Linked DNA regions of Mytilus edulis. The protein of the gene in region 3 binds, or shares a complex with, the protein of the main gene of each other region. Links are inferred from orthologs where the notes say so. Each region holds a gene or a part of one and is shown on either strand. Other genes may lie near its edges.

Region 1 (7,955 bases), on a different chromosome or scaffold from region 3:
CTTAATTTTTGCAATAATTGTCAATAACATTTATTTTTGTATTAAATATCAGGCTGTTAGTTTTCTCTTTTGAATAGATTTTGATGCTTCAGTGATTCCCTATATTATCCACCAAGTTTTTTCCATAAAAAGAATGGCCTTGCTCTTAATCCGCCTCTGGATCATTATAGATTCTGCTATGAAGTTCAGGAAAGAAATAACTTCCCTAATAGATTGTGTACAGTAGATATATAGTGGAAACTAGCATTATACTTACAGCTATTTCTCTACATGCTGACATAGAAATTCCTGTACCTTCTATCTGCTTTAAGGCATATTCTCTTCCATCAGTGCTGAAATTCAAATCAGAGAAATACTTTGGATCCGAAAAAGCTATTTCAAAATTTATACCTAAAAACATGAACATTGCAGAAGTTTTTCTCTCAACCACACAAATGATATTAAATTTAGTGGTTTTTTTTAAATCCTTCAATATGTAATAAAATCTCATACAACATTCTCACTCATAGTATAGTACGTAGCAAAGACTAGATGTATTTGAATGACACATATGGGCCTGTTCGCAAAAAAATCAAGAAGTCATTTTTAGAAATTGTAAAAATTTAATTTTTTGGTAAGCTTTTGAGATGAATGCTGATATTTTTGTGCTTTATAAAAAATATTACCATAAAAAATTAAAATGATATACCCGAATGTATAAGATTTCTGCATGTTGAATAAATAGACTTATACATGCTAAAAATTAGCTGAATATGTGAAGTTCAGTGTATCCCAAACTCTGTCTATCCAACAAAATGTCAGACAAGAAATCATTCGGTCAGACAGAATTTTTTGGAGATTTTGGTTGAATATATATAGAAGAAAAATTCAAATTTCTTTTTCAGTCAGACAAACCCTAAAACAGTTTGGCACAGACTGGAAGTTATGATAAGAAAAAAATAAACAGCTGCTCCACGAGCACATGATACACCTGTCATCTTGTGTGTGAAGTTTTATTCAATAATCATTTGATAATCATAAATAGTTTCTGAGAGGCGACATTGAGTTGGCCTAATTGAAACAATTTTGGAAAAACACACATTTCTCCAAATGTAAAATTTAATCAAATTACATTAACATGTAATTGAAAGTTGACCTGAAAACACATTGCATTCAATTGAATGATAAATTGTAATTTTTAAGGGTGTACGGTTTCATATACATTTTTTTTGTACATGTACATACAATCTCTAATGGGAAGTTATTGTAAAATTGTTTCATTAAGGTACAAATGTATATTATAAATACAATGTTCCCTGTACTCAAACTACACAACAATTTCACAATAATTATCTCATAGATGTGGAACCGTAATCTTAAGAGGGTAGGAATGCCCTCTAAAGTCAGGTGTCAAACAGTCACTTTCAGCTACCTTTAGAGTCAAATTGATAAACTTTTACCATCATTTGTCAAATTGATAAACTTTTACCATCATTTGTCAAATTGGTAAAAAGTTTACCATCATTTGTCAAATTGATAAACTTTTACCATAATTTGTCAAATCATCCCTATCATGATACGTCAAAGATCCTACATGTAAATAAGATAGTATCTAAATTTAATGTAATTTATCAAAATCAGTCATTTTTTTTTATTGTCTTAAAGAAAGCATATTTTTGATTGTCATGCATCAAACATTACTGTTGACATCATTTGGCAATTTTTTTTTACTGTTATTCACCAATAAGGTAAAAATGTACCCCCTTTACGACCTTCTCTAATATCTTTTTGATATTTTTAAACAATTTTAAGATGGATGGTCTACAATTTGTAAATTTGAATTGTTTTACATTGTTATTTCGGAGTCTTTTAAAGCTGACTATGTGGTATGGGCTTTGTTCATTGTTGAAGACTGTATAGTCTGTAATTTCTGTGTCATTTTGGTCTCTTGTGGAGAGTTGTTTCATTGGCAATCATACCACATCTTCTTTTTTTATATTTAAAAGAGCTACGGTTCTACAGCTACATCAAAGATTAGTATAGTTTACTATACAAATCTTTGAATATATTGTATATAATCTGATGACTGTCATGAGGGTAATAATAAATGCCCTTTACTGTCTGTAAATTAGTGTCAAAGTGATTGAAATTTTACAGTGATTTGTCAAAATCCTCTTATCCTGATTTGTCAGAGGTCTTTTTATAATTATAAAATGTTACTTTTATTTTTGGAAAAATTTAACGTGATTAATGATTTGTCAAAATCTTTCGATGTTTTTATCGACTAAAAGAAAGTCCATATATATATATTTTATTATCATTTTACAGTTTACAACATTTGTCAAGAACTATTACCGTTATTTGTCATGAAGGTACCACACCTGATCATAGACATATAACATAACAAATCATTAAATTTATATACATTCATGACATTGTACAAATGTAGATTGCCATTGACATATAGTCAATACTCAAATAATTGTACAAAAATAGAAAAACAATAAGGAATTCTTATCATTCTTCAAAAAAAGACACGTATTATGAATTTATCTATACGTCTATAATGCGTGATGGCAAGAAATACTAAGACAGTCTGCACCAAAAACTTTTTCAACTACTAGTCCGAAGACCAATATCCTGACATTTTTCTTGTTGGTCCAAACAAATTTTTGCAAAACTTACTAGTCCGAATAAAATTTTACTAGTCTGGGGTATCGGACTAGTGGCTAACCGTGCAGACTGCTAAGAAATAAAGAAATAACTCTTAAAAAATATAAAATCGACGATTTAGTGTGCGAGACATATGCTTCAAACACACTTTAACCTGTTCTTCCTTTTGCCTTTATACACATGTCCATATGTTCCTCGTCCAACTTTGCATCCTTCGTAATCGAAAAGGTCCTCGACTTTTGCTCTTTCTGCATTGGTTTTCTGCTTATATTCAAAATCCATTTCTTTGACGGCTCCAAAATATTTATTTTCCTAAAGATGCTTAATAAATAAAATTCCGTTGTTAAAAGCGTGTTGATGATCAATACGATCTAATTACAGAACATTCACGGAACCACTCAACTATTCCGGGTTTTCAACACTGGCAACGCCACTGCTGGTGGAGATTTATTTCTCCGAGTGTATCACAAGCCCAGTAGTCAGTACTTTTTGTGCTGACATGAATTGTCATTGATATGGTTATATTTATAAATTTACTGTTTACAATTTTTGGAATTTTTGTACTAAGGCTTTTCTACCTCAGGCATAGATTACCTTTAGCTGTATTTGGCAAAACTTTTATGAATTTCGGTCCTCAATGCTCTTCAACTTCGTACTTTATCATGTTTATAATATTTGGCCTTTTTTTTTTTTTTTTTTTTTTTTTTAACTTTTTTGGATTCGAGCGTCACTGATGAGTCTTTTGTAGACGAAACGCGCGTCTGGCGTATATACTAAATTTAGTCCTGGTATCTATGATGAGTTTATTTAAAGGAACACTATAACCCGAATAATTCAGTCGTTATATTCCGCTGATCTACGAAGGCTACATTAACGCCTGAACGTCTTCCTCGATCAAGACCGTCAACCGGAAAATCCACACCGCTTTGCAATATGGGAATTTTTATTTAAATTGGCAGCTAAAGAAGGAGGAGTTCCGGATGTTAATTGATGATAAATGATGTTAATTGATGTTAATTAATTATTATCGGATTTGTGTTAATTGAACACACGTGTGTGGTAAGGCAATTTCAAGAGAGTTGCGCAGACTCATATCCTGATCGCCGCTGATTGGCTCTCTCTCACAGAGAGCAGGCGACGCGGCCAATGATCACAAAGAGTTCAAGCCCTCGTGTGGGAGAAAATCGGACACGGAAAGGGCTTGAATTATTCGAGTTAGGAACACTATAGCTACGAGATATATATAAAAAAAAAAATATGATTTATTTTTGTTCAATTAATCATTTTAATAGTGAAATAATAATTCGCCTTTAGCGGCCAGTATGTTTCAATTTTGTCAAAATAAGCTGAGAAACATTGATGATGAATAATTATCTTGTTTATCTCAGCCGTTGCCAAAGTCATGGAATAATTCGACTTCATTCACGGAATCCGTATTTATGTGAACTTCAGCTAGAGATGGATAACGCATAAATTGTGCGTTTTGAGTATTTAAAGGAAAATAATGCCAACGTTGAAAGTGAAACAAAAGTAAACTGACCATTTGACGTTGACTGATTCGATCCACAAAATATCCTTTTTATACAGGTACCGTACAAATATAAAACGATGATTAACATATATTTTTAATGTACAATATTAAGTTAAAGAGACCTAGAAAAATACAAATGCACGAGCTAGTTTCTATCTATATCTATATTATGTTTATATCGGTCTGAGGTCTCCGGAGGTCAACTCGATAGTTAATTAGATGCATGGCGTCTAGACTAAAATACACACATAACGAAGTAACATGTTCCCGAGCCCATACCCTGCCGTTGCAAAACCATATAGAATAAAGAATAATGAGCAACGAAGTAACATGTTCCCGAGCCCATACCCTGCCGTTGCAAAACCATATAGAATAAAGAATAATGAGCAAACTGAAGAAAAGAATACAGAAAAATAACCAAACAATTAATAGGATACAGAAAGTGAGGATAATCCCATCCATAGTACCCCAGTCATTCATCTTGATATCTATATCACTAATGGAAAGCTGAATACTAAAATTTATGATAGAAGGGATGATTTTTCATTTCCTATCGTTAATTATCCGTTTTTAGATGGTGACGTTCCCTTGTCACCATCTTACGGTGTTTATATATCTCAACTTGTACGATTCGCTCGTGTATGTAACAATGTTTTAGATTTTAACGAGAGAAATTTATGTATTACTGAAAAACTATTACACCAGGGTTTTCGATATCACAAACTAGTCAAAACATTTACTAAATTTTATCATCGGTATAAAGACATCATTCGTAAATATAGCTCAACATGCAGACTTCTAATACGTTCAGGTATTTCACATCCAATTTTTTATGGAAATATTCTTTATAAAGCACAAAGGTGTCAGTATTAACCTCAGAAACTTACAAAACCTTTGAATAGACTTATTAAGAAGGGATATAATTACGATACTGTTGTCAAGTCATTAAAGATTGCATATTTTGGAGTTAATATTGAGTCACTGATAAGGTCTTTGCATCGGAACTAAACACATTTATTCTAAAAACAGTTGTTGGCATGACACGGGTTATGTTCTTCTCATATATGTTATGATGGTATGATACTAAACCCCTAACGGGAAGGATTGTGCCTGATGTTCATATGATGAAATCATAATCTTTCAGTCAGTTTAATTGAAGTCTGGAGCTGGCATGTCAGTTAACTGCTAGTAGTCTGTTTTTATTTATGTATTATTGTCATTTTTTTTATTTTCTTTGGTTACATCTTCTGACATCAGACTCGGACTTCTCTTGAACTGATTTTTAATGTGCGTATTGTTATGCGTTTACTTTTCTACATTGGTTAGAGGTATAGGGGGAGGGTTGAGATCTCACAAACATGTTTAACCCCGCCGCATTTTTGCGCCTGTCCCAAGCCAGGAGCCTCTGGCCTTTGTTAGTCTTGTATTATTTTAATTTTAGTTCCTTGTGTACAATTTGGAAATTAGTATGGCGTTCATTATCACTGGACTAGTATATATTTGTTTAGGGGCCAGCTGAAGGACGCCTCCGGGTGCGGAAATTTCTCGCTACATTGAAGACCTGTTGGTGACCCTCTACTGTTGTTTTTTATTTGGTCGGGTTGTTGTCTCTTTGACACATTCCCCATTTCCATTCTCAATTTTATCACTGAAGCAAATACCGATAAAACAGGTCTCTAACAAATGATCAGATAGCAATGTTTGACCAATATCAAACAGTTTTGCATGTGGCAAACACCTTCCATGGGCAACTGTCTAATACACTTAACATTCAGTGACAAATATTTCAAGCAGGTACAGCTGGGACGTTTACAAATCAACCATACATATAGTGGGCAGGTCCTGTTAAGTAGGCCGCCTTCCGAGAAGAAGGTTGGGGAAAAGTAGCCTGGTACACATGAAAGCAGCTGTTGAGATGATAGAAAAGTTTAAAAAAACAACTTGTAAGCATATATAAGATAGCATTTAGAAAAAAAGAACTGTACACATAGAGCTATTTTTTTTTTTATAGAAAACACTCGGTATTAGTACAACTAAATGCGTACGGTTTCTTACCAACCGATTCTTTCGTCGAATCTGGGTGCATGGACGTATTTATTGCGTCCGGTGGCGAATGTGTCATGCATGTTCAGGATAATCATAGTGTCATTTGAAACTCTGAACTCTGGTCGGTAACTATTGTAAAGTCTCAGGCGCGGATCCAGAGGGGGGGGGGGGGGGTTCCGGGGGGTGGAACCCCCCTTTTTTTTAGGACGATCAATGCATTTGAATGGGGACATGTAATTGGACCCCCCCTTTGCCCTGGGTTAGGAACCCACCCTTTTTAGAATGGCTGGATCCGCCCCCGAGTCTATTCGACAGGGAACATATTCACACATTTTATTCTAGGCATAGTAAAGATCATTTACACCAATTTTTATTGATATGATTGTGTAGCTTCGTTTGTTAAATGTTTGAAAAAAGTTCACAATGATCAGATAGCAATGTTTGACCAATATCAAACAGTTTTGCATGTGGCAAACACCTTCCATGGGCAACTGTCTAATACACTTAACATTCAGTGACAAATATTTCAAGCAGGTACAGCTGGGACGTTTACAAATCAACCATACATATAGTGGGCAGGTCCTGTTAAGTAGGCCGCCTTCCGAGAAGAAGGTTGGGGAAAAGTAGCCTGGTACACATGAAAGCAGCTGTTGAGATGATAGAAAAGTTTAAAAAAACAACTTGTAAGCATATATAAGATAGCATTTAGAAAAAAAGAACTGTACACATAGAGCTATTTTTTTTTATAGAAAACACTCGGTATAAGTACAACTAAATGCGTACGGTTTCTTACCAACCGATTCTTTCGTCGAATCTGGGTGCATGGACGTATTTATTGCGTCCGGTGGCGAATGTGTCATGCATGTTCAGGATAATCATAGTGTCATTTGAAACTCTGAACTCTGGTCGGTAACTATTGTAAAGTCTCAGGCGCGGATCCAGAGGGGGGGGGGGGGGTTCCGGGGGGTGGAACCCCCCTTTTTTTAGGACGATCAATGCATTTGAATGGGGACATGTAATTGGACCCCCCCCCCCCCCCCCGTTTGTCCTGGGTTAGGAACCCACCCTTTTTAGAATGGCTGGATCCGCCCCCGAGTCTATTCGACAGGGAACATATTCACACATTTTATTCTAGGCATAGTAAAGATCATTTACACCAATTTTTATTGATATGATTGTGTAGCTTCGTTTGTTAAATGTTTGAAAAAAGTTCATGACGGAGGGACGACGAACCTCAAGTATTGAGAAAGGATCTTTGGAACCCTCGGACCAGATTGCTAAAACTAGTCTAACCAAGCCACTTTTTAATATTGGAAAAGAAACGATATGGTGTATCAATTCGTGACACAAAATCACAACTGACATGCGTATGGAAAAAGAAAAGCAAAGGATTCTATCGCTTTATTGCTGTTACCGATCTCAAAATCACAATAAGGCCATGGGGTAAGCATTCTTAAAAAAATTCGTCTATAACACGAAAAAAAGTCAAAGATAAAATACGCAATGGGCACTTTTCACACATTTCCGCGGCAATTTTCAATTTGTATATGGCTAGTGATAAAATAAAAAACTCCTGTACATAGTTTTAATTGTATATATATAGAGAACGTTTTATCCTGTAAATAGCCAAGAGAAAACTTTCTGTGTTGTCCGACATTGCGTTAGTTTTCGCGGGACCTCATACATTCAAGATTTGAATTCGGTTCCTTACCTGGAAGAAGAAGAA
Region 2 (7,297 bases), on a different chromosome or scaffold from region 3:
TCTTGCTGTTAAAGTGTTTTAATTTAAATTAAATGTGTTACAAGGAGTCCAATGTCAATGTAGTTGCGGAACCGTAGCTCTTAGGTCCTTATGTTATTTTTTGACTATTTGCGGACCATAGAGCTACGGATTTTTCCTATTTCAAAACGTTCGGAATTGCGACCCAGGTTCAGGTCGCACTTATTTCTCAAAAAAATATTGTTTATATATAATCCATGCAAAACTTGTCAATATATATAGTTCGATTCGTTAGATATTTTTCTAGGATATGACGTACCTATTTATGTTTGAATATTCATTTCCTTAACACTATTATCTAATTATTTCCATTTGTATACATTCTCCGCCTATTTTATTCGACCATATTGAATCTCGTTGTAAAAATATCTAACGAAACGAACTATACATATATTGACAAGTTTTGCATGGATTATAAACAATATTTTTTGGAGAAAAAAGTGGGACCTGAACCTGGGTCGCAATTCCGAACGTTTTGAAATAGGAAAAATCCGTAGCTCTATGGTCCGCAAATAGTCAAAAAATAACATAAGGACCTAAGAGCTACAGTTCCGCAGCTAATGTCAATGTAGATTGATGAAAGCAGATATATATATATATGTCCCTGATGAAAGGGAAGCGTCTTTTCCAATTGCATTTCTCTTTGTTCTGTGTATTTATTTATCAAATTTAGATCAGGGAGTGACAAAATTCCTCATAACACAATACAATCTTATTGAGGAAATACCATATGTGCTCTGCATGTCATATGCCTTCATATGTGGTACATGTACATGAAAACATGTCCTTTTAAGGCTTTTTATGCTATTTTACACTGTTTAATAAGTATTAGCTTATATTTCGAAGTATCCTGTGATTGTCCCTTTTCATAAATGTCGAAGTGATTTTAATTGTCAGGCATTCTATGACAGTAATACATGTTCTCATTTTGTGTTGGGATCTTGTTCACCATATCCCACCTCTGTTCCATTAAATCTCAATGGGTACCGTGGGAGGGTATTTAGGTATTTATATAATAAGGCCAATTAATCAGACACCCATCCCTGGCAGCAAGTTAAAAGATCCTTCCCTTTAGTGATGTCTGGCAAGGCTATATAAAAACAAATCTGGGATGCCATGAAGCCTTGCCAGACGTCATAATTATTTGGACTAGTACCTCATATGTGTAATGGAACTAAAACAGCCCCTTTCAATAGGTTTCAGACTTTCTGATCAACACTTGAACCAAAGTTGACCCACCGTCAACCTCACTGACTGTCTGAAACAGGGGTTCAAATTAGCGGTGGTCCAATTAAACCAAAATTCCCTAACGATCTCAAAAATAATTATCATTTTTATTATTCATGACTGCGATGTTCATTTTGTTCAACCGCTAGATTTACACCGAAAATATCCAACAATTAATGTGTAAGTATTTGTAAAATCGTATCTGGTCCTCCGTTTTCAACTGGTTCCTTTTCACCTCATTAGATCATGATGAAACGTTGACTGAACAGGGAACCGCCTTTCAACTGGTTCCTTTTCACCACATTAGATCATGATGAAACGTTGACTGAACAGGGAACCGCAAGGGATTTTCGAATCCACTCCGAGGGTATTCCGACTGGAAGAAGAAAGACTGATCTTTCTTATCATGTTTTATTTTTATTTGTACTTCTTCAAACAGAAAAGGGTCGGCGGAATTACAAAAAAATCTTCAAAATCGTTTTTATTTTTATTTTGATATTGTGAAAAACAGGGTTGGCGGATCCGTAAAACAACAAATAAAAAAAAAGTGGCCTTATGTAGGGTTGATGATTTTATTGGTAAGATGCATGTTTGTAAAAACTATCATGCAAATTTTGCATCTTAAGCATCTGACATTCCTTGTGGCAGCAAGTGTCACCCATGGCAAGTGTACCAAAATAGGGATTTATATAGACAATTAAATAAATACTTAATTTCAATCAATTAAATGTTCGCTTATTCACTTTATTCATTTAATTGTAATAATATTTATTTGTTAAAAGTCAATAAAAGATTAGTTCGCCTAAAATAAACCCATACTAATCCAAATGCATTTATGATCCAGCTCTTACTGGACCGTACAATTGCAGTCCAAATACTTGTATGATCTGGAACATAAATAAAGTATATTTGCTATTCACTAACAACTTCCAAGTTTCTTCTCCACGGCAATCACTTTTATATTATAATGAGAGCCTCTATCAACACAAAAATTATTGTCCTGTCCTAGAGTATTCTTATGAAAATTATATTCAAGGTGAAAACCGGAAGCTCGAGTCTTGTATGACTTTAAAGTTGGTCTGATGACAGAAATAATGTCCAGATATCTTTATATTCGTTTTTCTCCCAAAATAAACCTAACTAGATAATCATAAGAATAGATGACAAATGCGACTATACTTGGTACATTTACCTAAAGAACACATGATGATTAATTTATTCATTATTGTAGAAGGAAGAGAAAGGGCACTCGAAAAACTACACCATTATTAGGCACAATTTTTTTCTTATCAAGACGAAAGGTTCAACTATTTACATTATTGATAAAAAAGTGGGGTTCATTATTTAAATTTATCTGCCATTTTTTCTATTTAACAAGTCTGAAGTCTATAGACCCTTCGCATAAATTTTAAAAAGACGTTTGTTTTTTTTTCTTAAAAATCTTTTTTTTTTTTTCAAGTAAATAAATTTTTTTGTCGTTAATTTTTTTCTTCTTGTTGCTAATTACTAATTAGCGAGACCGCAAATTAGTCAATACGAAGATGAATATTTTTTTCATGCTTGAATTTTGAAGAAAAAAAATAAATGCAAACACTTTGTCCCCTTTCCCTGCTAACACATATTTCAGACTAACGAAAAACAGGCCAAATCAGTTTATAGACTTGCACGTGTTTCAATGCCAAAGGATGAAATATTTTACAACCACGTGGTCAACCAAAAATGATATGGTAAAACTTTTCAGAAGAGCTGTGGTGTTTTTGAATTGCTAAAATGTGTAGAATTTTTAGTTTTCTCATGACCTAAATGTTTTTCAGTTTGTTAAGAAGAAATATTCATGTATACTTTTAAGTCTTTCAGACACGAAACTGTGAACAACTTCTTTGATCAAGTAAAATGGTTGAAAGGAAGAGCTTTGGTTTCTGGGTAATAAAGAAAGCTTGGTACAACTAAAATCCAATGCTGAATACATTAGTTAATAGAGAAGGAACGTACATTTTTATGCTCGGTTTTTTTTTAAGTAAGTAATTAGACCAGTGTATGTAAAGTGCGGATACTAAAATACCATTTTCACTGTCTATGCCATGCATTTCTGATGTAGAATGGTATATAAATAGACGAAAACATTATGATTTTTGAAGAAAATGAAGAAAATTGTTCACATGTACTATATTTAGTAATAAAACTTAAGAATAAGTTACACGAAACCCCACCAAAACTGGGGGGTGATCTTAGGTGCTCCGGAAGGGTAAGCAGATCCTGCTGTATATGTGGCACCCGTCGTGTTGATTAGGTAGCAATACACAGTTAGGAGTTTAGTTTCGCATTTTGGCCCCTGTGAATTTTTCAAATAGGAAAGTTATTGTGTAATAAAATTCATTTTTAGACAGATGAGTGCTAATTTAGCCTTCAAAGATGGTTTATAAGACCATCAAGATTATTTTTTACATGTTTTATGGGCTGTTTTCTGTTTGACAATCCGTATTTTCATAGCTAGACCGGCCATCGGTCCAGAAATTAATGTACTGTTTACAAACACTGTTTTTCTACACGAAGTTTTTGACGCAATTTTACAAAAAAATGAGACGAAAGACATATGATTTTCATTGGATTTGCTGAATGATATATGTACACAGTTTCAGAAAAGGTACTACTTCAAGTGATTGAAATTCTACTTTTAGCCAAATTTTGGGGAAATATGTGACATCTTTCCCCCCCTTTTTGCAATATTTTATAACAAATAAATGCAGATTGTTGCCATGGATACACCAAAAAGAAAATATATTTTACCATTTTATATACTGGATATATAATCTATGGAAGGTTCTGATTACATACATATGCCCATATATGACACAAACAGTAAGCTTGATATTGCAAGAAAGCAATGAAAAGGGGATGGTAAAATTCATAAGGGCAAATTTTAGTATTTTTTCCTAACTGTTTATTGCTACCTTATGTTATTACAAGCCCGGTGAATAGTCTACTATTCTGTATAAAGTGTAAATAACGTTAATTGTTGTACAATGTTGTATGAAGATATTTGTTGGTTATTACTCAGCCCTTTGTAAAAGGTCAAGGTTTAAACTGCTATTGCTAGAAATTTTGACACTTTTGTATCCAGTTAACACAAATAATGCTTATATAGGATTTATACTAAACTTGTGGCAGATTTGAAATGGCAGACAGACTGACACAGCTACAGGATGCTGTAAATCAAGTAAAACGAAACAGATAATTTTAGTTTAACGTTAATGTTCATTCACATGGGATAGTAAACCCGGCAAATAGTAACACCGGTGGTTCATCATGAAGAATACCTTTTTGTATCAAATGATTAATCGTGTTGGTATAAACATATTAATATGAAAGTATTATCCTATAGGTAGAAGAAAATAAGACGTGCTTCAAATGCAAAGATTACCATATGTACATGTAATGTATGCTACTCGCTTGAGATGGAAAATTATCGCTAGAAACTAAGCATGCACGTGGCTTTGCTAATGAAATTGACATGAAATTGACAACGTCGTCATAGGTAAAATAGCGATAAAAAGTTTATCGTTGACCGATTATCTATAATTATAGCTTAATTAACGTTAAAACAATTTTCCACTAAAAATGAATGTTACTTTATTCAAATATAAGGACTTTGTTAGCTAAACCTACTAATTTTATTAGATATTATGATTTTTTAAGACAATAGATAAACATGCTATCATATGTATTTGTACATTGTACAAACGTCAAAAGAATTTGAACTAGGTATGCCTTTTATTTGGAAATTGTTACGTCACATTGCAATTTTAATAGCACAAAGACTCATAAGACTAGGATGCACCAACTGGTTATCAGCTTTGTTAGAGTCTATCAAAATGTACCTCTGTCATATTTGTTTTTCGTAAACTGTTTTATTGTAAATTAAGCTATTATTCTTCTCAATTGATTTGCTTCATATTTTTCAAGTCAGGACCTTTTGTAGACGACCACACAGTATGGGTTTTTATACGACCGCAAAAATTTTAATTTTTCGTCGTATATTGCTATCACGTTGGCGTCGTCGTCTTGCATCGTCGTCTTCGTCCGAATACTTTTAGTTTTCACACTCTAACTTTTGTAAAAGTGAATAGAAATCTATGAAATTTTAACACAAGGTTTATTACCACAAAAGGAAGGTTGGGATTGATTTTGAAAGTTTTGGTCCCAATATTTTAGGAATTAGGGGCCAAAAAGGGCCCAAATAAGCATTTTCTTGGTTTTCGCACTATAACTTTAGTTTACGTAAATTGAAATCTATGAAATTTTGACACAAGGTTTATGACCACAAAATGAAGGTTGGGATTGATCCCAACAGTTTAGGAATTAGGGGCCAAAAAAGGGCCCAAATAAGCATTATTCTTGGTTTTCGTACAATAACTTTAGTATAAGTAAATAGAAATCAATGAAATTTAAACACAAGTTTTATGAACACAAAAGGAAGGTTGGGATTGATTTTGGGAGTTTTGGTCCCAACAGTTTAGGAATTAGGGGCCAAAAAGGGGGCCAAATAAGCATTATTCTTGGTTTTCGCACCATAACTTTAGTATAAGTAAATAGAAATCTATGAAATTTAAACACAAGGTTTGTGACCATAAAAGGAAGGTTGGGTTTCATTTTTGGAGGTTTGATCCTAACAGTTTAGGAATTAAGGGGCCCAAAGGGTCCAAAATTGAACTTTGTTTGATTTCATCAAAAATTGAATAATTGGGGTTCTTTGATATGCCGAATCTAACTGTGTATGTAGATTCTTAATTTTTGGTCCCGTTTTCAAATTGGTCTTCATTAAGGTCCAAAGGGTCCAAAATTGAATTCTTGAGCTTTTTTGATATGCGGAATCTAAACATGTACTTAGATTTTTAATTATAGTTTTCAAGTTGGTTCAAATCAGGATCCAAAACTATTATATGAAGTATTGTGCAATAGCAAGAAATTTTCAATTGCACAGTATTCAGCAATAGCAAGAAATCTTCAATTGCACAGTTTTGCGCAATAGCAAGAAATCTTCAATTGCACAGTATTGTCAATTTGTGCAATAGCAAATATTTTCAATTGCACAGTATTGCGCAATAGCAAGAAATATCTAATTGCACAATATTGTGCAATAGCAAGAAATTTTCAATTGATTGGAGTTATCTTTCTTTGTCCAGAATAGTAGTTGAATCAACTTAAATCATTGTTTTATACAATATACAATGTATATTCACTTTTACTACCAACTGATAAATTAAAACAATCTTTACCATTCAGTGATAACAAGCACTTTATTTTACATTTTAATATTTTATGATGTATTTAAATGAGTAGTTATTGTTGCAAACTTCATTAGGAATTTGAATTGAGATCAGTTTTGGAAAAAGGGAAAGGGGGATGTGAAAAAAAAATTGGGGGGGGGGGGGGGGTAAATTTTTCTCATTTCAGATTTCATAAATAAAAAGAAAATTTCTTCAAACATTTTTTTGAGAGGATTAATATTCAACAGCATAGTGAATTGCTCAAAGGCAAAAAAAATATTTTAAGTTCATTAGACCACATTCATTCTGTGTCAGAAACCTATGCTGTGTCAACTATTTAATCACAATCCAAATTAAGAGCTGAATCCAGCTTAAATGTTGTGTCCATACTTGCCCCAACTGTTCAGGGTTCAACCTCTGCGGTCGTATATAGCTGCGCCCTGCGGAGCATCTGGTTCTCATTGTTGACGGCTGTAGGTTGCCTATAATTGCTTACATCCACTTCATTTGACTTTCTTAATAATTAAATGGAAAAATCGATTGTAGGTGCCCTTATGTGAATAACATTTGCCAGATTTTTATCAAAATTATATCAAATGTTAAAATATTTGTGAAAAGTTTGAATAAACAAAAGTGTTGTTTTTTTCAGATAAAATATCTGCAACTCAGTGGAAATTGGAACTCTGTTTTTTTTCTTTGTATTAGATATAAAAAAAAATTCTAAATTTGCATTAAATATTTATGAAAATTTTCTATTTGCAGATGGCTGATCATTTTTGCAACAG
Region 3 (7,498 bases):
AAAACAGACCCATGACCAACATTCAATAATTTAACTTCCCTTCCTACTTATACCCTCCCACATCAATTTTGATGCAATATATATTCCTAATACAGATTGTGTACTTTTCTAAGAAAAGACTAAATGTTCTTACTTGTGCCATGTCTGCTTGCATTGCAGCTGATTTCTGAACAACAATATTAACTTTGTCCTCGACCTCTGGTTCTGGTTTGGTACGGAGGTAGTCTGGTACAACTTCATGGTTAAAACAAATTACTCTTCCTTCTGTTAGTTTCTACAGAGCAAATACAATGAATAAAAATTTATGCATGACTAGTTATATTTAGAGGTGCATATAATATTTAGATACATATACATGTACTTAAACAAATAAATGTCTGCAATCATTTTTAATACTTTTTTCTCCTTATCTTAAGGATGTTGGCTCCTCTTGTTTTTTAAGTTTTGTAAGATATTCGAAAATTTTGTATTAAAATCCTTATTATCTTTCCATACTTTTTGAAAGAAAAAAGTTGCCTATGTTAAACATGTTAAATGAATGAAAATTCTTGAGAGAATCATTTCCCTCCAAATTTTCAACAGCATATCTTAGAAACAAGGACATGGACCCTTCATTTTTTTCTGCTATATTACATCTATTATTTATAACAGTCTTTTATAAAGCTTGTTATTTAGAAGCAGAGAAGCAAACCTCTTAAATATTTTTATCGCCTATTTTCATGATTTTTCATTGAAACAAATGAGATAAGCAAAAATCTGTCACAGATGACATAAACACACAGGTGCAAGCTGGTTTTTACTTCTTCTCTGAATTTGAAGATTTGCGAGTATTTTGATTTTTATAAACACCTTATATAATTATAAACATTAAAGTTACCATAATTGAAAAGTTTAACTTAAGTGAAAAGTCCCTTCCTGAAGTTTATTCATGTTTATTGAATATACAATAAGTCATACTTAAATCATAGATCAAATTTATTCTTTCATTGTATGTTCACACATGTTAATATGTCGTGTTCAGCCATTTCAAATTTCAATTGATATCTTATATTGTGTCTTTCTGTGTTGTGATGTTACACTATTGTTTCAGATAAGGGTGAAGGTTTGGTACCATGTAAACAATTAAACCCACTGAAATTGTTTGCACCTCATGAATCTGATGTTAAGTAGTTGTCGTTTGTTGATTTGGTTCATAACATAAGTGTTTCTCGTTTCATGTTTTTTATATAGATTAGACCGTTGGTTTTCCCATTTAAAAGGTTTCACACTAGAAATTTTTGGAGGCCTTGATAGCTTGTTGTTCAGTGCAAGCCAAGGCTCCGTGTTGAACACCTTAATTTTACCTATAATGGTTTACTTTTATAAATTGTGACTTGGATAGAGAGTTGTCTCATTGGCACACATACCACATCTTCTTATATCTATTAGATCATAAAATAATGTATGATTTATCTTTTCAGTACCTCAAGTTCAGCATCTCTATCAGGTCTCAGTGCCAGCGGTAACAAGAGATGATTTCGAAGATGTGGTGATCTGTCATTTTTCAGGACTTTACCAAGACTATTTAGCTGACCAGATATCAGAGCAAAATTATCCAGCACAGATGGCCTGAAAACAAGAAGGGATATTTTAAGACATTAACTACATGAACATGCTCTCTGATTAAAAGAAAGAACATATCGAATTTTTAATCATTATCATGATAAAAGGTTTAAGCAGATAGTAGCTTTTAAGGTAAGAATTTATACTTCAATAAAAAAAAAATGACATATAGCTATCATGGCTATAGTCAAGTACAATTCATTATTTACAAGTAACTTCTATAATAATTTTAGCTCATTTACAATGTCTAATATATCAAAGTTTGTTATTTTTTGTACATGTTTTTTTAATTTTATTCTGCCACATCATGTTTACATTTGCCAGATGGTAAACATGGTAATTGTACAAAACAGTTTTGAAATTTTAATAAAATATTTGTCAAAGAAAATGCATCTTATTTTGAGATTCCCTGGTCTTGTGATCTTTTTGTGCTTGATTCTTATTGTCTGTTCTTTCATCTGTTCATTGAACTATCCAGCTCCTTTGCAATTTCTGAGTTGTGTTAAGAATTGTATTATGCATAACTCAGTGTTTATATCAGTATGATCATGTGTCCACACTTTGTCTGTTGTCTAAAGGAGCATATTAACCATTAAAACATAATGTCCTACCAATTCAATGTTTGATATTCATTTTCAAGCTTAAAGAGAAACGATGCAATGGAATTTTTGATATCCTGAACTCTGTGGATCAAGGCATCTACAGTGGCTTCTAATTGCTTTTCTTCTTTCTGGAAAAAATCAAATGAAATATGTACATTGTAGTTGTAGTCATGGTAGTAAATTTGTAAAGCTAGTAAAACCGGTCTTTTCAGAATAAACATATTCAGCCATTTTCTGGTCTTAGCCTAACACTAATTTTAATTTCACAAAATGTATGTACTCTTATGATAATTTAACCCTTTCATGTATCCTTTTTACATCCTTGTGGGCATGCTGAATGTATCCATTTGGCACATCAGTGTAGATGCCGAATTCGAAAGCATCCTTTTAAGGATACAATGTACATAAATTTTCTATTTTTAGACTATCACAATCAAGAGGGTGACATAGAATTATTAAACTGTCAAAATTATTTTCAATAAGTGTAAAAGTTTAACAGCCAAGGTGAAAAAAATGAAGACCACAACAAACAAGGCAGACAAGATTGACAAAGTCAACTTTCTAGTTAATTTACCAATGAAAGCATTATAAAATTATAATATATAAATATAATATGATGGAAACTGAAAGAAGACCATGAGAAAGATACTAATAGTATTTTTGCTGTCAAACACATGCACTTTGTATACATGATAAAATGAACAGCATAAACATAATAAACGTGAAGTTTTCTTTTAAAACTTTTTTTTTAACTCCAAAAATCCTTCAGGGATAACTATGCACCTCTTCCAACAGGTGCATGCCTTCTTTATAACTGTTTCCTCAAAACACACTCTATAAAATTAGTTTTTAACCTGCATTTTTGTTTTTCTTTATAATAGTTTCTTGATTTTTAAACCGGAAATACAATACCGAATTCACGCATGCGCAATCGGAAGAATTTACCAAATCGCATATCAGCCATTATTTTGAAGGATCTGAAAAGACAGAATTTTATTATATAAAATTTATATCAAGAATATTCAAGGCTGAAAGGTAACTGTTTTGAAACCCATACACTTCCAGGTTCTACATGAAGCTACTTTGAACCAATCCGCGCACCTTGTTTCATTGAATAATTCTTTGTTCTCATTGGTGGGTAGGTCAGTGTTGATTGGGTGTCGATTCCCGACCAATTTATTGGTCCACTCTTCGACCCAATCTCCAATGATAATTTACAAACATTTCCCTGTATCAAAGAAGTAGCAATTTATAAATGAAATAAAATGTTTCTCCAAATAAACTCTCTGTGATCGACAGTCATGTGTTGACAAATATCCCCTCACGGACAGAACAAAAATGGCTTCCTTGAATTGCTTTCTATTTTTAGAATGTTACTACAAAAACAAATTCTGAAAATGAATTTCCCATAATTTTATCAACCTTTGGTGTTGTCTCAGTTAATATTGGAACTATGCAGAATGAGACTGATCAAAGTAAGACATTGATATACATGTATTTATATTTAATATTATTCTCATTTTTGTACAAGAACTACCCCCTTTCCCTCTTTTTCATGCATATATTTGTGAAATATAGAAAAAAAATGCTTTGATATGAATAAATGTCACTCAATTTAGGCTAGACACTTCAGCGGTGGATCCAGAATTTTTCATAAGGGGTTGGGGCCACTGACTGCCTCAGATGGCCGCTCAAGTCATGCCTCATACAGTGTTTCCCTGTAGAATCAACCAATTTACCACAAAAAGGGGGGAGTCCACCCCTCCCACCACCACCACCAAATCTGCATCTAGACTTGGGTATTAAAATGTATTTTATACAAGATTGTTTAAAATGCAAAAATAATTCTTCATTCATTTTATGTTTGGAAATTTAAAAAAAGATATAATTTACCATTTTACCCTTTATACCTTTACATGTAGCTTTATCCTGTAGTCCTTAAATAGGCTAATGGTGTCTACTGACTCCTCATCTTGGAATGTCTTTCTCATCTCATAATAATTGCATAATAATATATTTATATATATTATATTTATTTTAAAAAAAAACTTATTTAGGGAATATGAAAAAGAAATTTGAGTTGTCTCCCTGTTTTTCCTCTAAAATTAAAATTAACACTTTAAATTTAAATCTTTGCATTTAAGTTTTAAATGGTAACAAATATTTTATAAAATCATAATTTACAATTTTCATGTCATATTGCTTTCATGTTTGACATAGGCATACCTCAAAATTTGAAGTAAGTAACATCAATAAAATTTTATAAATACCTTTGAATAAAAGTATAAAAAAAAGTGATAAAGTGTGTGTTGAAAATGTTTGCCTCAACATATATTTGAAACTACTTCTTTTTGGGCAAATAGACTACTATCCAGTAGTTCTTGAATAAAAGTGAATATGCAGTGTGTGAAAAATTACAGATGATGGTCTCAAACTGGTAGACTGACAAGACTGTTTATTTACTCTTGAGTATGTAAATTTTTGACCTGTAACCAAATCTGTGGTAGGACCTTCTGGTACTGGATCAAGTAAGAGCTAAGAGAAAAATCATGTTGACAATCACATGAATCTGTGCAAATTGTGAATTCTAATATGATGTTTAATTGTAATTGCAATAAAACTGTGATTGACATCATAATTGAAATTGCAATGTCAGTTGTACTTTGAACCATGCTCTAGATCTAAATGAACATTTGTGTTGCTTTTGCTTGCTAGGAAATTAAATAAAATCATTTTAAAAGTAATTTTATCCATATATGATATCATATGCCCGTTAATGGGATGTATTATTAAAAACCGTTAATTGTCCGTCCATCAATTGTCATGTTGGACATTAACTTAAAAATGTTTAAACCAATTTGCATGAAACTTTGTCAGGTGAATTGTTTATACATGTATCTGTTTGATTTATTTATAAATTTTAGATTTTACATTTCTGAGTTTTATTCATTATAAAAGGGGGGATTTTTTCAACAATAACTCAAAAACACTTTCACTAATTTGCACGAAACTTTGGCAATGTTTATTTACAATGACATTTATAAATATATATAAGCTCCTTTTCAATTTTTATAAATTTTTTATTTTACATTTCTGAGTTATGGGATTTAATTCACAAAAAGGGGGGATTTTCAAGTTTTCGAACACTATACCTACAATATGTAAAGTGCTTTGGGCAGTTTTCTATAAACTTTAGTGACTGATTTACATGTATATCTATTAAGATAACCTTCCTTTAGTTATTATACATTTCTGATACATGTATGGTATTGAGAAGTTATTGAACTTTATTCTTTGAAAATGCCACTGGTGTATCATGCCTCATGGGGCGCAGCTGTTTATTTTTTTATTGTTAAATATAAACATGTTGAATTGTTGGTTTTCTATAATGTTTTGGTAAATCACATCAAAATGGCTACCTTTCGAATATACATGTATAAATAATAGGTCCAAATTGAAGTACAAAAGTTATAAATTTGCCTATCAGAACATGCTCTATATGCTGATTTTAACTTGAGTAGGTATTATTTTTATGCCCCACCTACGATAGAAGGGGCATTAGGTTTTCTGGTCTGTGCCTCCGTCGGTCGTCCTTCCGTCTGTGCGTCCGTTCGCTTCAGGTTAAAGTTTTGGTCAAGGTAGTTTTTGAAGAAGTTGAAGTCCAATCAACTTGAAACTTAGCACACATGTTCCCTATGATATGATCTTTCTAATTTTAATGCTAAATTATAGTTTTAACCCCAATTTCGTGGTCCACTGTCAGAACATAGAAAATGATAGTGCGAAGTTCAGGTTAAAGTTTTTGGTCAAGGTAGTTTTTGATGAAGTTAAAGTTACATCAACTTGAAACTTAGTACACATGTTCCCTATGATATGATTTTTCTAATTTTAATTCCAAATTAAAGGTTTAACCCCAATTTTCACGGTCCACTGAACATAGAAAATGATAGTGCGAGTGGGGCATCCGTGTACTATGGACACATTCTTTTTGTCTATAATTTAATCTAATTAACACTCAGTATAAAGATATTGACAAAAATAATACCTACATATATACATGTACACACATGTTAAAATAAGCATTGAGCATGGCATGAACAAATTGTATCTTAAAAGATTAGCTAATTTATGTTAATATAGATACAACAAAATAATAGAAAGGCATTCAAATTTCTCCAAAAATGTCCCAAACTGTAAGCTCATTTTACTTCTTTTAGTGCTCTTACTGGAGTTTGTGGCTGTCGTATATTAACGTAATGCCAGAATATCCTACATGTACCACAGAGCAGAGGTTTTTCCCCATTATCCTCTATAGCTAGTCCCCATTCTAAGTCATACCCTCATATCTCCTATTTTTACCAATTTTGAACAATTGCTATTCCATTTAAGGTACTGCTCTTTGTTAAATTCGATTTCTGGAAAAGTATTTTGTGTTAATCAGGACTTTTCCATTATAGATTAGTTTCCTGAACTTGAAACAGGATATATGTTCTTGTAATGTTAAACACTTCCTATTAACGCAGTTGTTTATCACGTTCATACATCAAATTAGTACAACATTTATACATGTATATAGAAATACTGTCAAAAGGTACATTTGACCCAGGGATTATCTACATGCAATAAGGAAAAAGATTTTTCTGGTACAGTGTGCCTGGAACATAAATTAATTTTACTCATGCTTGTACATGCTGTATATGGAAAGTTAAAATCAATATGTAGTTTATTTTGAAAACTATTATAAACAACTGCTTCACCATGTTTAATGCATATATACAATGCATCAAGTAAAAATCAATGATTTTGATGATATTCTTTATATTTAATTTTTTCTACAGGCTGACACGGCAACTGGTCTACATTTTTGGGGGTTACTCTATTTTTAATTGCATGACCTTTGATCTTATATTTAATCGGATTTTTTCCCTTGACATTGAACCATTTATCATTGCACTTTTAGATTTGTTAATTATTAGTATAACATGTTTTTAGAACACAAACAAGGAAATGTCAAATAAAATCTATAGTGATATGATATTATTATATAATAGTAATTAGAGGGAAATTTAAAATAGAACGATTATTTCACATTTGAAAAATTATTTCTTCAGAGAGTTTCCAAGATGGAGTACCCAACATCAGGACAGTCACCTAATGCTGCATCAATAAGTGGTGAAGCTGCAGCCATGCTGAACACATTCTGGCCTGATGCAATGAAAGATATCAGAGACCTAAAAAATGTAGGTAGATTTGTATTTAACAAACAAACTTATTAATTAGTTTTAATGTTAACA

What was found. The genes of interacting proteins can lie anywhere in the genome.
Region 1: mediator of RNA polymerase II transcription subunit 8-B-like (region 3) and cyclin-dependent kinase 8-like share a complex: the UniProt entries of both Caenorhabditis elegans proteins name them as parts of the mediator complex. The link is inferred for Mytilus edulis from reciprocal best matches to the Caenorhabditis elegans genes mdt-8 and cdk-8.
Region 2: mediator of RNA polymerase II transcription subunit 8-B-like (region 3) and mediator of RNA polymerase II transcription subunit 21-like share a complex: the UniProt entries of both Caenorhabditis elegans proteins name them as parts of the mediator complex. The link is inferred for Mytilus edulis from reciprocal best matches to the Caenorhabditis elegans genes mdt-8 and mdt-21.

Annotation. Positions count from the first base shown.
Region 1 is NC_092353.1:33,984,792-33,992,746, reverse strand, and holds the start of cyclin-dependent kinase 8-like, read right to left. Parts: upstream 3,004-7,955; 5' UTR 2,935-3,003; coding exon 2,801-2,934; intron 333-2,800; coding exon 257-332; intron 1-256. UniProt on the Caenorhabditis elegans protein: Component of the Mediator complex, a coactivator involved in regulated gene transcription of nearly all RNA polymerase II-dependent genes.
Region 2 is NC_092349.1:41,335,735-41,343,031, forward strand, and holds the start of mediator of RNA polymerase II transcription subunit 21-like, read left to right. Parts: upstream 1-4,294; 5' UTR 4,295-4,420; coding exon 4,421-4,462; intron 4,463-7,274; coding exon 7,275-7,297. UniProt on the Caenorhabditis elegans protein: Component of the Mediator complex, a coactivator involved in the regulated transcription of nearly all RNA polymerase II-dependent genes.
Region 3 is NC_092344.1:62,053,257-62,060,754, forward strand, and holds the start of mediator of RNA polymerase II transcription subunit 8-B-like, read right to left. Parts: upstream 3,021-7,498; 5' UTR 3,006-3,020; coding exon 2,988-3,005; intron 2,333-2,987; coding exon 2,214-2,332; intron 1,609-2,213; coding exon 1,464-1,608; intron 275-1,463; coding exon 134-274; intron 1-133. Other genes in the region: nuclear transcription factor Y subunit gamma-like, read left to right, coding at 3,665-3,679, 7,316-7,444. UniProt on the Caenorhabditis elegans protein: Component of the Mediator complex, a coactivator involved in the regulated transcription of nearly all RNA polymerase II-dependent genes.